Linked DNA regions of Saccharomyces cerevisiae S288C. The gene in region 4 interacts genetically with the main gene of each other region. Each region holds a gene or a part of one and is shown on either strand. Other genes may lie near its edges.

Region 1 (3,800 bases), on a different chromosome or scaffold from region 4:
TAAACAGCTGACGCATAACCAGAGGTGAAAATCTGTTCTTCTTTGACATCAATACCAAACGAAGCAAACTTTTTCGTGTATGCTAAACGGGACTTGGTAGAGTTATTCGTAACGAAGATCAGTTGTTTGCCCAATTGCTTCAAAAGGTTTAGAATTTCCAGGGTGTATGGTAATGCTTGAGAACCTAACCATAATACACCATCACAATCGAACAGAAACGTGTCATATTTGTCCAAGAATTCTTGAGCAATCTCCTTATTGGTTATCTTTATTGGTACACCTTGTTGAGCAGTCATTTTCCCGAGTTGTATATTCTTTGTCAGGGCAAGCTATAAGGCTTTTTTTGTGATTTGGCTCGAGCTTGATATTTATGTCTGCTTGTTATAAACCGATTGCGTCAATTACAATTGAAAAATTCACTAAAACGGAAAGAACATTCACCGAAAAAAAGAAAAACCGGAAAGTTAATAGATAAGGGACGTCATTAATATACGATTAAGTAAATACTGAAAACGTGCTGGAGAATAGTAAAGATGTCACATCACCATCTTCAACGTCTTCCTCTACAAAACTTGAGTTGATAAAGAAGCATAGTATACACAAACGTATGTATCTCTTCAGAGAACTATATCCTGTGAGGGAAGATGAGACCATTCCCCATTATACTTCTTGAACGGGTAGTTGCGTCGAACAATCTACTTCCTATTCATATCTAAATGTTTATATAAATATATGGCTTTTCTTATCCACAGCTCAAGCCACTTATATCAATGACGATGCCATGAATAAATTGTCCAGGTTAAGTAAATCGGAACCCAAGTCATGAATAATTTGGCGAGAAATAGTTTCCACCAGGTTAGCTGGCCAGGTTGGGGCTCCCCAAATTCTTGTTTTAAGTTTCAATGCGTGAGCACCATCAATTATGCTTTTAGCACAACTGATCTCATTCGAATCCATACGACCTCTTAGCGATACTTTCCAATGATCAGAACCACAATGTTTCATTAATTGGCTGAACGAAACCGTCGCAGCTACAGATAGCTTTGAGTATTTGGGCTCCAAACTTAACAACGGCGCATCTAGAAATGCAAACCTTTGACTTGACTCAAAATAGCCGTTATCATTTCCATTGTCTAAAATATCCAATGACGTCGGGTAGTTGCCCGTTAGTATCACAGTAACAGGTCTCCAAATAATTTCATCCTTCTTCATATCGTAATATGTCAAATATCCAGAATCAATCAGAGATTTGAAATATTGCTCCATCAGCAGTTTATAAGTTAGTTCGTTATCATCCGACTTGAAATCAATATAAAAGAAGAGTGAAGTTTCTGGAGAGTTGAAAAATACACCATTTTTGCGATCGGCGTCTGAATCTTGGCAATTCACCTCGTCTAAAATCTCCAAGAGGGGGCCAGTGTATAGCTTGTCTAATGTCAATTCAACTGGGTCCAAATACGCTTCATTATGACCCACAGCTAGGATCTTTTCATCTATATTCCACACGTCGGCTTCAGTACTACTAGCACCATAGGCCAGACCTTCAAAAAGCGGAAGTTTCCTCCAGTAGTCATTATGGGAGTGAACTGGCATTGGGTTAACATCTTTGTTCAACTTTGCGATAGCAGAGTCTACTGGTAAACACTTTTTTGAACTGGCACGACGTAAGATATATTCTTTGAATACATCATAATATAAAGAAACGTGTTTGTGACGATACTTTTCCTCTGAAAAACTTAGAAATGGCAAGTTTTCCTGGAAAAATTCTAAAAGATGTTGACCGGTCAACCCAAAGTTATCAATATTCGATATTTTCTGGTCCTTTAACTTTTCCCAATCAGTTAATGAAGGATTTCTTCCCCTACTGGAAAACAAAGCACAGACAGCAATAACGTATCCAATAAGAATAGTTAGACACCCTTTCAGTCCTAACATCGCTTAACTAAACCGAGGTACTTATCTTTGTTGGTCTTATCTCGAGTCATATTTTATGCCTATCCGGCGATTTATCACTCGGAAGTTTGGATAGTTTCGGATTATAAAAGGAGACAAGATAAGGATTTTAAAACAGGCCATTGGCAAAAGAACAACATTTTATTGAATGAATATATGAATTGGGCTGTCCTTTGAAGAGGATATGACAAAAAGTGATTTATTATTTGATAAATTCAACGACAAACATGGAAAGTTTCTAGTTTTTTTTGGTACCTTTGTAGATACCCCTAAATTAGGAGAGCTGAGAATCAGAGAGAAAACATCTGTTGGAGTTCTCAACGGAATCATCAGGTTTGTGAACAGAAATTCACTCGATCCTGTCAAAGATTGTTTAGATCACGATAGTAGCTTATCACCAGAGGATGTCACGGTGGTTGACATAATTGGAAAAGACAAGACTCGAAATAACAGCTTTTATTTTCCAGGTTTTGTTGACACGCATAACCATGTCTCGCAATATCCAAATGTCGGCGTATTTGGGAATTCTACCCTGCTGGATTGGCTAGAGAAGTATACCTTCCCCATAGAAGCCGCACTAGCAAACGAAAATATTGCGAGAGAAGTTTACAATAAGGTAATAAGTAAGACGCTTTCTCACGGTACAACGACTGTGGCTTACTATAATACCATTGATCTCAAGTCCACTAAGCTCTTGGCTCAACTAAGCTCCTTATTGGGGCAGCGTGTTCTTGTTGGAAAAGTGTGCATGGATACCAATGGTCCCGAGTATTATATTGAAGATACTAAAACTTCCTTTGAAAGCACTGTGAAAGTTGTTAAGTACATACGGGAAACCATTTGTGATCCCCTCGTAAATCCTATAGTGACACCAAGGTTCGCGCCCTCTTGTTCTAGAGAACTAATGCAACAGTTGTCCAAGCTAGTCAAGGATGAAAACATACACGTTCAAACCCACTTGTCGGAAAATAAGGAGGAGATACAGTGGGTTCAAGATTTATTTCCCGAATGTGAGAGCTATACTGATGTATACGACAAATATGGGCTGCTCACAGAAAAAACAGTATTGGCACATTGTATTCATCTAACAGATGCCGAAGCGCGTGTGATTAAACAGCGTCGCTGTGGTATATCTCATTGTCCCATTTCCAACTCCTCTCTGACTTCTGGAGAGTGTAGGGTTCGATGGTTGCTGGACCAGGGCATAAAGGTTGGTCTAGGCACCGACGTTTCAGCCGGTCATTCTTGTAGCATACTCACCACCGGAAGGCAGGCCTTTGCAGTTTCAAGGCATTTGGCAATGAGAGAAACTGATCATGCAAAACTTTCAGTCTCCGAGTGCCTATTTCTTGCTACAATGGGCGGAGCACAAGTCTTGCGTATGGATGAGACCTTGGGGACTTTTGACGTCGGTAAGCAGTTTGACGCTCAAATGATCGATACCAATGCTCCCGGCTCAAACGTGGATATGTTTCATTGGCAGCTAAAGGAGAAGGATCAAATGCAAGAGCAAGAGCAAGAGCAAGGGCAAGACCCTTATAAGAACCCACCGCTGCTTACTAATGAAGACATAATCGCAAAATGGTTCTTTAACGGTGATGATCGCAACACCACTAAAGTTTGGGTAGCCGGCCAGCAAGTCTACCAGATTTAGTTGTATATGTTTAGAGGGCTACTATATCTTGTTCCAAGTATTAATGAGTAATTTGAGTATATGTACAAATTTCTTTTGCGTATCGCGCTTTAGCCGCCCATTGTACAATATTAAGATTAGGAACACAAAGAGATTTGCCAGTGAAAGAATTGCAAAACTCGGTTTGGGATTTTGAATGGGATAGTTGAATACA
Region 2 (3,698 bases), on a different chromosome or scaffold from region 4:
GTACTCTGATCTTAAGAGTTACTGATATTCTTTGCCGAATGGGTTGCAATTACCTGGCGGTTTCACTTGTGAAGAATTGGAAGTTCATCGAAAGAAATTCCATACCAGTTCAGAAGCTATTAAAGAGCCCCACCAAGGATAGAGCATATTCTGCTATTGGCGCCATGGCGTCTGAACCAATTTCTACTGCTAGGATGAGGCCCAGTCTTTTTGATAAGTTTGGCTCGCCAAGTGCTTCAGATATAGAGTCACCTAATCCAAAGTTACCAAATAGCTTATTAGACGACTTCTTGCAACCACCACCAAATAGCACTTCTTCAAATTCCCTCGCTCAAAGTTCTTCTTCTGCACCTAGAAGTATACTGGATGAGTTCGTCTCTCCTTCATATTCTCAGCATAAAGAGAATTTAACTCCAAAAGCGCCAAACGACTCTGTGGGTGAAACAGACAACTCAGAAAATAGGAAAGATAAACTCTCTAAGGACATATTAGATGATCTTTCATCACAAAAGCCACAGAAGCCAAAAAAATCTGCTATTACCAAGAACTTACTAGATGACTTTGTATGATATCATATTTTTTATCAAATAAATGGATTTATAAATAAAAATAATTACATCTTATTAATGTAGTGTTTTCATATTGGGTTATTTAATCTCAAATTTCAGCCTTACAAGTAACTAATTAGGAGAAAAACTTTGATATATTCTTTCTTGTCTTTTCCTTATTCTCTTCTATGAGCCTATTGACATATTCTATTCTTTGTTCTATAACTTCGTCATCGGGATTTTTCTCTTTACAAAAAATATAATCTTGTAAAGCTTCGTCTAGTCTCTTTTTTTTTAAGTAACTGTTACCTCTTCTATAATAAGCCTTTGCTTGATCTCTGTTAGGAACGTTATCCATCTCCAATAAATACGTAGCATACATGATAGCATCATCGTATCTTTCCAGATTAAAGAGCACCAAAGATAAATTTAGGTAAATTTTCATCTTTAGGTTAATAAATTGGATGTTTCTTTCTTTGTCTACGTCGGGTTCAGGCATGTATTCATTGATATAATTTAAAGATTTTCTGTATTTGAAAAAGGCATTAGAGTAATCCTTTTTCTTAAATAAGAGCGTCCCAGATTCTTTGATTATATTAGCAGCCTCAAGAGCCTTACCAAAATCATCGTCACCGAAATGTGTATCATCGTCTGGATATTCTTCGTATACGTCACCGCCAATTTGGTCATTAGAAGCGTTGTAAAGCGGGACACCCATAGTTTTTTCCCACACTCCACAGTCGCTGATTCTAACGTCTGATTCAGGGACTCCATCAGAATCTACCCTGCAGTTTTCTATAGTGCGAACCACTGATTTTCCATGAACCACCTGCCCAAAAATAGAATGCTTGCCGTTCAAATGAGGTGCGGCGTATGTAGTTATGAAAAACTGGGAATTGTTCGTATTTGGAGAACCTAAATTGGCCATACCTAAGGTAAAGGGTTCTACAAACTCTCCCAAGTTTTCGTCTTCAAAATTCCCGTAACAGAAAGATTCATCATCGGTTTTCACTTCCTCTTTATCAGCGTAAATTGAACATCCACCTTTTCCAACAGACGATGAAGAGGAATCCTTTTGTGTCCCAAAGACAATGTCACCTGCCTGGATCATAAAATTCTTAACGACTCTATGAAAACCATTTCCCTTATAGCTCAGGTACTGTTGATCCTTCAAAGGACTCTTAACATCACCAGCGCATAACTTATAAAAATTCTCTGTTGTTTTAGGAGCCTTCTCACGAAAAAGTTTGCAGACAATACGACCAATTGGTTTTTTATCAATGGAGATGTCTAAATATACAAGGGGATCTTGAATCATCGCGTTGGATGTAGGTTGTTGCTGCCGAACACCTTTCAGAATAACGACTTTTTTTTTCTTTGCAGTTTCTCATTTTTATGATTTTCTAATCACTTCATCACTCAGCGCATTGGAAAAAAAACAATATATAGATCTCTTTGTTTACATGTTGGAACTAAGACCTTTTAATATGGATACTTTACACAGAGAATTGAACCATCTTAGTTAAGTTAATTCGCAACTTTGGTAAGAAGCGCCCAGGTTTAACTAATACGGCTTCATATACAAAATGCACGACGTGCCAATGGAAACTGTTTTGGCCGTGAACCCAGCTACGATGATTGTCAAAGAGTGCATCAATCTTTGTTCTGCCATGAACAAGCAGTCCAGAGATAAATCACAAACAAGTGTGGCCGCGTTGCTGGGCGGAGGTAGTGATATATTCTTGAGTCAAAGTGATTCGTTTGTTGACAGCTTCCACAATTTGCCTACTTCTAGCTATCATGATCCTCTGATATCTGGTTTAGTACAGCTGCGGCTAAAAATTAACGACTTGAAGGGTTTAGATTCATTAAACGCCTTGGAACTTTTGAAACCATTTTTAGAAATAGTCAGCGCTAGTTCAGTATCGGGTTATACTACTTCTCTGGCTCTGGACTCGTTGCAGAAAGTTTTTACACTAAAAATCATAAACAAAACATTTAATGATATTCAAATTGCCGTTAGGGAAACCGTTGTTGCGCTTACACATTGTAGATTTGAAGCTTCAAAGCAAATTTCGGACGACTCTGTTTTATTAAAAGTTGTAACATTACTACGCGATATTATAACCTCTTCCTTTGGAGACTATCTCTCCGATACTATAATCTACGATGTTTTACAAACGACACTTTCCTTGGCATGTAATACGCAGAGAAGCGAGGTTTTGAGGAAAACGGCTGAAGTTACAATTGCAGGGATAACCGTTAAACTATTTACAAAGTTGAAGTTACTAGATCCACCTACAAAAACAGAAAAATATATCAATGATGAAAGTTACACCGACAATAATTTGAAGGATGACATTATAGGTACGACTACCTCTGATAACGATTTGAGTAGCACTGATGATGACAGTGCTGTTGCAGACGATAATAAAAATGAGAAGCCAGTCCAACAGGTCATAAGGGAACAGGAAAATGATGAGGAAACGGCTGAGAAAGCCGAAAATGTCGAGCCAAATTACGGAATAACAGTTATAAAGGATTATCTTGGATTATTGTTATCACTGGTTATGCCAGAGAATAGAATGAAGCACACAACTTCGGCCATGAAATTATCTCTACAGTTAATCAATGCAGCCATTGAAATATCCGGTGACAAATTTCCTCTATATCCCCGGTTATTCAGCTTAATTTCTGATCCAATATTTAAAAGTGTTTTATTCATTATACAAAGTTCTACCCAGTATTCTCTTTTGCAAGCAACTTTACAATTATTCACGAGTTTGGTTGTGATATTGGGTGATTATTTGCCTATGCAGATTGAACTGACTTTAAGGAGAATATTCGAAATTCTAGAGGATACCACAATCAGTGGTGACGTTAGTAAGCAAAAACCACCTGCAATCAGGGAATTAATTATTGAACAACTTTCAATACTGTGGATTCACTCTCCCGCTTTCTTTTTGCAACTTTTTGTAAATTTCGATTGTAATTTGGATAGGTCGGATCTTTCGATTGACTTTATAAAAGAGCTAACTAAATTTTCTTTACCAGCGGCGGCCGTTAATACCTCTAACAACATTCCTCCAATTTGCCTAGAAGGTGTACTTTCGCTTATTGAAAATATATACAATGATCTGCAGAGATTTG
Region 3 (4,428 bases), on a different chromosome or scaffold from region 4:
GCAAAATCCAAGACCTTCAGCTCGAACCCTTTTGATGATAGTAAAAATACAGACACTCATCTCGAAAACGCTAATGTTGCTGCCTTTGATAATTCCAGATCTGGAGACACTACATACTCCAAATCAGGGGATGCTGAAACAGCTGCTTACGATAATATTAAAAATGCGGACCCTACATATGCCAAATCACAAGATATTACTGGAATGACTCACGATCAGGAACCATCATCAGAACAAAAGGCCAGTTACGGTTCTGGCGGCAATTCCCAAAATCAAGAATATTCTAGCGACGATAATATTGATGTCAATAAGAATGCGAAAGTTTTAGAGGAAGACGCACCGGGCTACAAGCGTGAAGTAGATTTGAAGAACAAACGTAGAACCGACCTTGGTGGTGCCGACGCCTCAAACGCTTATGCTGCCGAAGTTGGTAATTTCCCTAGTTTGATTGACCCACATGTCCCAACATACGGATTTAAAGACACCAACACCTCTAGTTCTCAAAAGCCATCTGAGGGCACCTACCCAGAAACCACTTCCTATTCAATTCATAATGAAACAACTTCTCAGGGAAGGAAAGTGTCGGTGGGTTCAATGGGTTCCGGAAAATCAAAACATCATCACAATCATCACCGTCACAGCAGACAGAATTCTTCAAAAGGGTCTGACTACGACTATAATAATTCTACTCATTCAGCCGAGCACACTCCAAGACATCATCAGTACGGTTCCGATGAGGGTGAGCAAGATTACCATGACGACGAGCAAGGTGAGGAACAGGCTGGTAAACAAAGTTTCATGGGTAGAGTGAGAAAAAGTATTTCTGGCGGTACTTTTGGATTTAGGAGTGAAATTTAAACACTTCTCGATTAACAAATTCCCAGTATTCTTTGAAATCTATTTTTCTTCCTCAATTGAATTTGAATAACTGTCTACGCGGACTCCTCCTATCTACAACTACAACAAATTTTAACCACTTTATTACCACTTTCCTCTTTCATTTATTTTTGTCTTTTATGTTGTCAATTTACTAGTATTTTTTTTTTTTTCATTTACGTTCAAGGTTTTTTATACTCATTTAACTTGTCTTAGGTTATTTATATATATACCTATATATTTATATATATATATATATATGTATGTATATATTATTATCACCAAATGAGAAATAATAGCTAATTTGATTTTTGATTATTTAAAATATTGGTTTGTTCTTTCTGCAAACATCTCGTTTGGTACGATATTAGTGAAAAACGATGTAATTATCAACACGTGCATTACCCAGCGTTATATTTTCATTACCCGGACGTGGTGTTTTTTGTTTTTTAATGTTTCTTAGACTTAAAGAGGAATGGAATGGTTATTTGGATTAAATCATAGAAAAGTACAATTAAGGTTACGGCAGGAGCCTCGAACCGGTAGTTTTACAGAAAATAGACCCATCTGGTGGCAACACTAAATCATTGAAATAATAGCAAACAATTGTTTCAAAACTCCTCCCATTTGGATCTCATCTCAATTGTTTTTTCCTTCTTAGTTAAAAGTTCACGAAATTAGGAAATCTAAGAATCAAAATATAATCCGCTGTTATTTCTGCGTGTAAAGGTTTATCTTCTACTTGTGTCATATTTCACAAATTATCACTTTGCTAAAACAAGGGACTGACTTCTTTCTTTATTTTTCGAGCATTTTTCAAAAAAGCAGGGTTTTTGAAAACAGGAACCTTAGTTGCCACATCTACGCTGAAAAATAACGCTTAAGGTTTCTCAATTAACAATGTCATTAGTGCATAATCAGACGAATTTAAACGAATCCAAATTTCTTATAGAAAGGGCATTTAGTTCTAGTTCAGAAACCGTTCCATTATCAAAGGAGGCAACATATCCCATGCCAACTGCATATAGTTTTTCCGCAGTTAGGAGCAACAGCGAGACTAACATTAAAAGAGAGAACCCGCAAGGTTTTGCAAAAGAACCTATTATGACTTCTATGCTTCATAATTTGACCATGTCCACGGGGAAAGGGAACGGGAATGACGTCAATTCTTTAGCCCCACATGATGTGGATGTTGGCCCCTACTGTCTTTTGCTGAGGAATTTGCCAAAAGACATTACACTAAGAGAGTGTTATTGTATATTTTCACTAGCAACTGGGGTGTCAAGTATAGAACTAAAAAGGGATGATAGAGAACCCTTTAATGACAATGAAAAAGTCGTTGTGGTCAAATTTGGATCCCTTTCTTTAGTAACCCATTATGCTAATATATTAAACTCGAAGTCTGAGATTTTTGGGCCTAGTTTCCCCTTTAGGTCTCACATTGACGTAGTAAATGAACAAACGCAGCTTCCAGTGAGTTTTCAAGAACATGTTTCATCTGGCACTACAAATAGTTCTCCAAAGAATTACCAATTGTCGTCCAGTGCGCAAAATGAAATTCAAAATCAAAGTTTTAATACTATATCATATGGAAAAACTAGTTCCTCTCCATTAGGGCCTTCAGCGGCCAAGCCAAGGCCTTCATTACTTTCAGAGAGATCCCTCCGTTTCTCATTCAATGACCCATTCGGATTGGAAACAATCTCTCAAAGAAAAGAATCCGTACCCTTTCTACGAAATAGCATCTCACAACATGATTTATCAAACGTAACCACCACACCAGTTCCAGCAGGAATGCCACCTCAGAAGGACGCTGGCAAGTCACTTTTGCTACTAGAAAAGGATGAAATAAATGAAAGTATTTGGAATGGTGATGAATTAGTTAATGATGTTGGTAATTCTTCATTTGGTGCATCTTTACAAGAGCCTCCGATGTCATCTACGCCTGTGATGGAGTGGAATGCTTCCTCAACTGCTAATATTCCTCTTTTTCAATTATCTAGCCAAGAAAATCATCAGTCTAATCTGTTGCCTCCATCCCACCATTCAATTAGCCAGGATGTTCCACATATTCAATCACAACCTAATCTGAACAATTCAGGAGTAATACATTCCGCGACTTCTCTACCGCATTATCACTTATTGAACCAAATTAATGCTTCAACTAAGACACAAAGTATTCAGCAGAGCGTTTCGAATGTTCCTTCCAATTTGGACCTGAATCTCCAAACGGAAAATGGCCACCCACAATCTTCTGCTCCTAACGGGTCTTCAATATTCAACAACCAAAAGGTGAATCAAGGCTTTTTAGTGAGTGAACAAGACACCAGTACAATATCACGACAGAAAGAATGTTCTTCTACAGCTTCTGCCTCTGCATTTTCGAAAAATAACGAAACAAATGTGGCAGGTTCCACAACTATTTCACAGGCTGACCTATCACTACTAGCCAAGGTGCCACCACCAGCCAATCCCGCGGACCAAAATCCTCCTTGTAATACTCTTTATGTGGGTAATCTACCTCCGGATGCCACGGAACAAGAATTAAGGCAATTGTTTTCTAATCAGCAAGGTTTTCGTAGATTATCCTTCAGGAATAAAATGAACTCTCACGGTCATGGCAACGGTCATGGCCATGGTCCAATTTGTTTTGTAGAATTTGAGGATGTTAGCTTTGCCACTAGAGCATTGGCAGAATTATATGGTAGTCAACTACCTCACCCCCGCCCTTCCCTCAACAACAAAGGAGGTATCAGGTTGAGCTTCTCTAAAAATCCATTAGGCGTTAGAGGCTCAAACAGTAGGAGTAAATCTGGTTACAGCTTTAATGGAAGTTACGGGAAATCATGATAGATTTAGTATTGCTTTATTAATTTTCTTTTGCTTTACTTTCTGACCTTCGTTTTTACTTTTTGGATTTTGCAGTTTTTTCATGCTCTACTTATTTAGTTTATGCCATATTTAAATTTATCCCTACAATTATTTGACACTGTTTGTATGTGTGTTCCCTTCTTGAAGGCTGTGCTGAGGAAACTTTGTAGTTGGTACATAAATTTTTGATCAAAAGTAAAAATACCCCCGTTCGGTAACTTATACATTTATTTATTTATTTATTTGCTCAGCTTTGGATTTTGTACAGATACAACTCAATCTCTACCCGATGCAATAGAGGCTAAATCAGTATACGTGTCATTTTTTTTAATTTGGCTCCTTGTGCTCTGTTGTAGAGAATTGATTGAAGATGATGAACCGTTTAGTTTATTCTGATTTATTAGTTTTTCCCTCAATTTCAATTCGTGTGCTTTTCTTTCTAATTCTTGAATTCTTTTTTGTAATTCTTTAGCTGACTGGGCCTCTAACTCTTCCAGTTTTTGTTGTCTTGCTAAAATTCTTTCATGTCTCAAGACATATGGAACGGTTTCTGAAATATTTCTTAACTTGGTACGCTCTGGTAAGTCCGGAGAGTTCAAGAATTTTGGTGAAGATTCTGTTTTGATAGATCTTATCAAATTTTCATTTTCTTGTTTTATTTCTCTACCCAACTGTCTCACG
Region 4 (3,580 bases):
TCATCCCTGTAGAGGCAGCTTTATTCAATCCTGCAGCCTGCACTCGGGTTTTCAGAGCATCTATTGGAAACATCAAAGAATGCTCCATTATACCTGCAAATGCTCCTGCCAGTAACTGGGAATGTAGCGGAGCATGTGATGGAAGAGCTTCGTAGTCGATTTCCTCAGCTATTGACAGTTCTGAAGTATTCATAATATTAACTGATATTTCGGTTGAGTTTTTTACTTCTTCACTTTGTACTTCTCACGAAAGTCTTCGTCAATAAACCTCTGATAAAGTGAAAATTCTATGAGATTCCAATAAAACCTCCAAATATCTTTATATACAGCTTACTACTTAGATAAGATGACGTTCGCCAATGGTAGGCAAAAGATAGCAGGGTGTTCTTGCCTTTCAGTCTTCGCCATGCTCTCATTCAAGAAAGGGTGCCAAAATACCGAAAAGAGACACGATCGGGGGTGTCAAAGTAGCGATTCCTGTGGGTTAAAAGAGGGTGAACCACGGCAAACATGCATGTGTAAAACCCAAAACGCCGATCTAGGGCCTGCGACGCATGGTACGAACATCCTGAAGGTATATAAAAGAGCTAAAGTCTTGACTCATGCCTGAAATCTTGATTTTTCATTGTTATATCCTCTCTATACATTAGTAAGCACCATAGATGGGCTGGCTATCAAAAGCGAGAAAAAAAAAATGCTGAATTCCAAATATGTACTCATCGGGGTGAATTTCAATGATGTGTTATGTAGATACAATATATATGTATAAGTCACTAAATGCATACATACGAGAGTCTACCTTAAGTTTGTCCAAGTGAAAAAAACTGGGCATAGCAAAAAGACGGTTGTAGGTATACCTGCGTATATGAGAAACCTTCCGACGATTTCCACTTTGGAAACACCGCTGTACAATAAACACTCTTCTTCTTCACTTGTCTCGTTATGGAAATGAACCTTTTCGCTTCTATCATCGTGAAATCTGAGTAGTTTAATTAACAGCGTGTAGACAGCTGTCTTGCTAATGACGTCTTTCCAAACAATCACAGAAGCGACACCTACCAGAGGCCTCAAGAACACCTTAGAACCACATGATGCGTACCTACTACATACAAGGTTCCATCCGTATCTTTCGGTTAACCAGTCGCTGCAATCCAGCCCACTGACTACGCCAATGAACGCTACGCTATCTTCGAAACAAGGACATTCATCAATGGGCCTGACGTGGTTAAACAGAATAAACAAGCCCCATGCTACACTCAAAAGGGGAAACCAGAGATGTTCACCAATCTGGAAATTTCGTAAAGCATGCACCACCCAGATTCTTATAAAAAAACAGATAGCTCCAACTGCGGCGCCGCTAAATAAATCCAGCATACCATGCATACCGCAGTAAACTCTACCAAAAACCAGGGTTAAGTAGTAAAATATCACCAGACTCAGTAAAAGAAGCTTTGTTGGCCATACCAGTGTGTCAGATAAACATATTCTCCAAAAGAATAATAGACTTACCGCAGTAGCGTTAGCAGAATGTGAACTGGGTGCACCATATTCTTTCGTAGTGTATTCACTTAGTGTGATTCTGTCAACTGGCGGTGATTTTGGCCTTGGTAGGCACCAATAATCCTTTAAGTAGCCACTCAAATAAATTGAATAACCAAGAACGTAGATCATGTCCCGTGTTAAATCGCGGTATCCAAGCCACACAGGCATGGGAAGCACGATAACATAAAACATGTGGGAACCCATAAGCGAAGTGTATTTGAAATAAACGTCTCTAAAAGGCGTTCTGTGCTTTTTTTGTAAAGAATGTACGAAATCTGATTGGTTGTCTGTGAATCTAGTTAGATACTGCCTTGTTTGAAACCTTAGCCACGACATCTGGCTCTCAAAATGCTCCGCTGGATGATTACCGGGATCTGCCAATAGGTGTTTGCCGCCGGAAGGAGCCATCTGAACCTTAATGGTGTCCTCGGTAACACCCAATTCAGTAACCGTCTGAATAATGGTCATAATTAAATTCTTTTACAGGCTTGCTATTTTGTATATTTTTTTGAAGACTACCACTGCCTAACTTCTTTTTGTCATGTTATCAATTCAACTAGATGTTGAGAAGGAAGCCAAGGCAAGGCTGATAAAAACTAAGAAAATAAGGAAAAATCATTATGTTATATAACATGAATTCTAGACGTACGTGCTCGTAGTTAGGAAGTATCTAAATAAGAGTCCCCACGTTACTTTAATTAGAAGCACGCCATCTTCCTACAACCGATTTTTTTGGATTGTAGATATCAGAGTCTCATCAAACAAGAGGAACCCAGAATAGGCACGTCCACTGAGAAAACCGCGGACAAGCAAGACACGCGTACCTGAAAAGGCTACATTTCTTGAAGAAGTTGTTCAGTTGAGCTAGCCACCTCTTTAGCCTGAAGACGTTCGTAATTCAAAATAGATTCCCTTGGCAATTGAAGCCATGAACTGAGTGAATCTGCAGGCTCAATCGTATTAGACAGTATGGCAGTAAGCCTTGCCCGTTCCTCTTCTTCACTTTGTTGAAGAAGAGGCTGTGGGATTCGTACCCCAGGAACGATCTGCAAATTGTCCGAGCCGCAGAATACGTGCGCACAAAGTTTAGCGACCACTTCAAGGTCTTTCTCTTCATCGATCTTTCCTCCGTATACGATCGTAGCTATGTGATCTCGCACTTGTGCCCAAGGAATGTTGTTGGTAGAATTGGTGGCTAATACATTCTCTAAATACACTGAGGCAAATTGAAAGTCGCAATCATTAAAGTAATACTTCTTGGAAAACCCATGAGGAACCAATCGGGTCCTGGCAGTGATCAAGGCATGAAACCATGACAATAGGAAGGTACAATACACGCTCCATACTCCTGAAATTTTACCAGTGAAAAATTGAGAACCCCATAGATCTTTGACGGTATCTAGTATACCTGGGATATCCTCATACACAAATCTATCAGTTCTTTGTAGCAATGGGGCAGGTAGTTTATCACCAGTCAAATGGCATGTCATGAACATTTTGAATTTCTCATGTTCTTCTGCCGCCTTTGTCTCCTCAACATGCTTGTGCAGATACGTTTTCACCCATGATAGCGACATTTGTATGTTTTGTAATAATATCCAACCACCTTCTATCTTAGATTTTGATATTTCCTCTTGAGCATAGTTTAGATTTTCTATAGACCCTAGCGGGATGATTTTTAACGATTCCTTCGAGGCTTTCGCCAATTCGATTAATTTGAATGTGCCATCAACATCTCGCTCGCTTGCCATTGTAAAATAGTTGTTCTCGGAATTGGCTACCACATCCGCGATATTCCACTCATCAACAAAAAACTCATTTTTGAACCAGTTCAACGCAGATATATACGATTTGGTTGTAACATAGTCCCATAAGTACCGCAAATCATTATTTGTATCTACGGTTAGTTTTGGTACGCCATCGCTACTTTCAGAGAGAACTCCAATCATAGTTAGAACTGCCTCTTTATATTGTTCACTTTCAATGTCGAATTTATACAAACAAAACATCGTCATAGCCATAATCATTTTAAATTTTT

Evidence for each region.
Region 1: mutations in YSR3 (region 4) and AIM6 together harm fitness more than expected from each alone (negative genetic interaction), as found in Saccharomyces cerevisiae (2 studies listed by BioGRID).
Region 2: mutations in YSR3 (region 4) and CPR7 together harm fitness more than expected from each alone (negative genetic interaction), as found in Saccharomyces cerevisiae (2 studies listed by BioGRID).
Region 3: mutations in YSR3 (region 4) and WHI4 together harm fitness more than expected from each alone (negative genetic interaction), as found in Saccharomyces cerevisiae (2 studies listed by BioGRID).

What each region holds. Positions count from the first base shown.
Region 1 is NC_001136.10:28,792-32,591, reverse strand, and holds AIM6 (Aim6p), read right to left. Parts: upstream 1,936-3,800; coding exon 763-1,935; downstream 1-762. Other genes in the region: PHO13 (4-nitrophenylphosphatase), read right to left, coding at 1-296; GUD1 (guanine deaminase), read left to right, coding at 2,138-3,607.
Region 2 is NC_001142.9:489,249-492,946, reverse strand, and holds CPR7 (peptidylprolyl isomerase CPR7), read right to left. Parts: upstream 1,867-3,698; coding exon 685-1,866; downstream 1-684. Other genes in the region: RAV1 (Rav1p), read left to right, coding at 1-569; Arf family guanine nucleotide exchange factor GEA1, read left to right, coding at 2,135-3,698. UniProt on the Saccharomyces cerevisiae protein: PPIases accelerate the folding of proteins. It catalyzes the cis-trans isomerization of proline imidic peptide bonds in oligopeptides. Plays a major role in negative regulation of the heat shock transcription factor (HSF).
Region 3 is NC_001136.10:53,695-58,122, reverse strand, and holds WHI4 (Whi4p), read left to right. Parts: upstream 1-1,776; coding exon 1,777-3,726; downstream 3,727-4,428. Other genes in the region: HBT1 (Hbt1p), read left to right, coding at 1-858; septin SHS1, read right to left, coding at 4,023-4,428. UniProt on the Saccharomyces cerevisiae protein: Has a partially redundant function to WHI3, a dosage-dependent modulator of cell size.
Region 4 is NC_001143.9:533,272-536,851, forward strand, and holds YSR3 (sphinganine kinase YSR3), read right to left. Parts: upstream 2,011-3,580; coding exon 796-2,010; downstream 1-795. Other genes in the region: MRS4 (Fe(2+) transporter), read right to left, coding at 1-193; DYN1 (dynein heavy chain), read right to left, coding at 2,376-3,580. UniProt on the Saccharomyces cerevisiae protein: Dihydrosphingosine 1-phosphate phosphatase required for efficient ceramide synthesis from exogenous sphingoid bases. Involved in endocytosis and calcium-mediated signaling.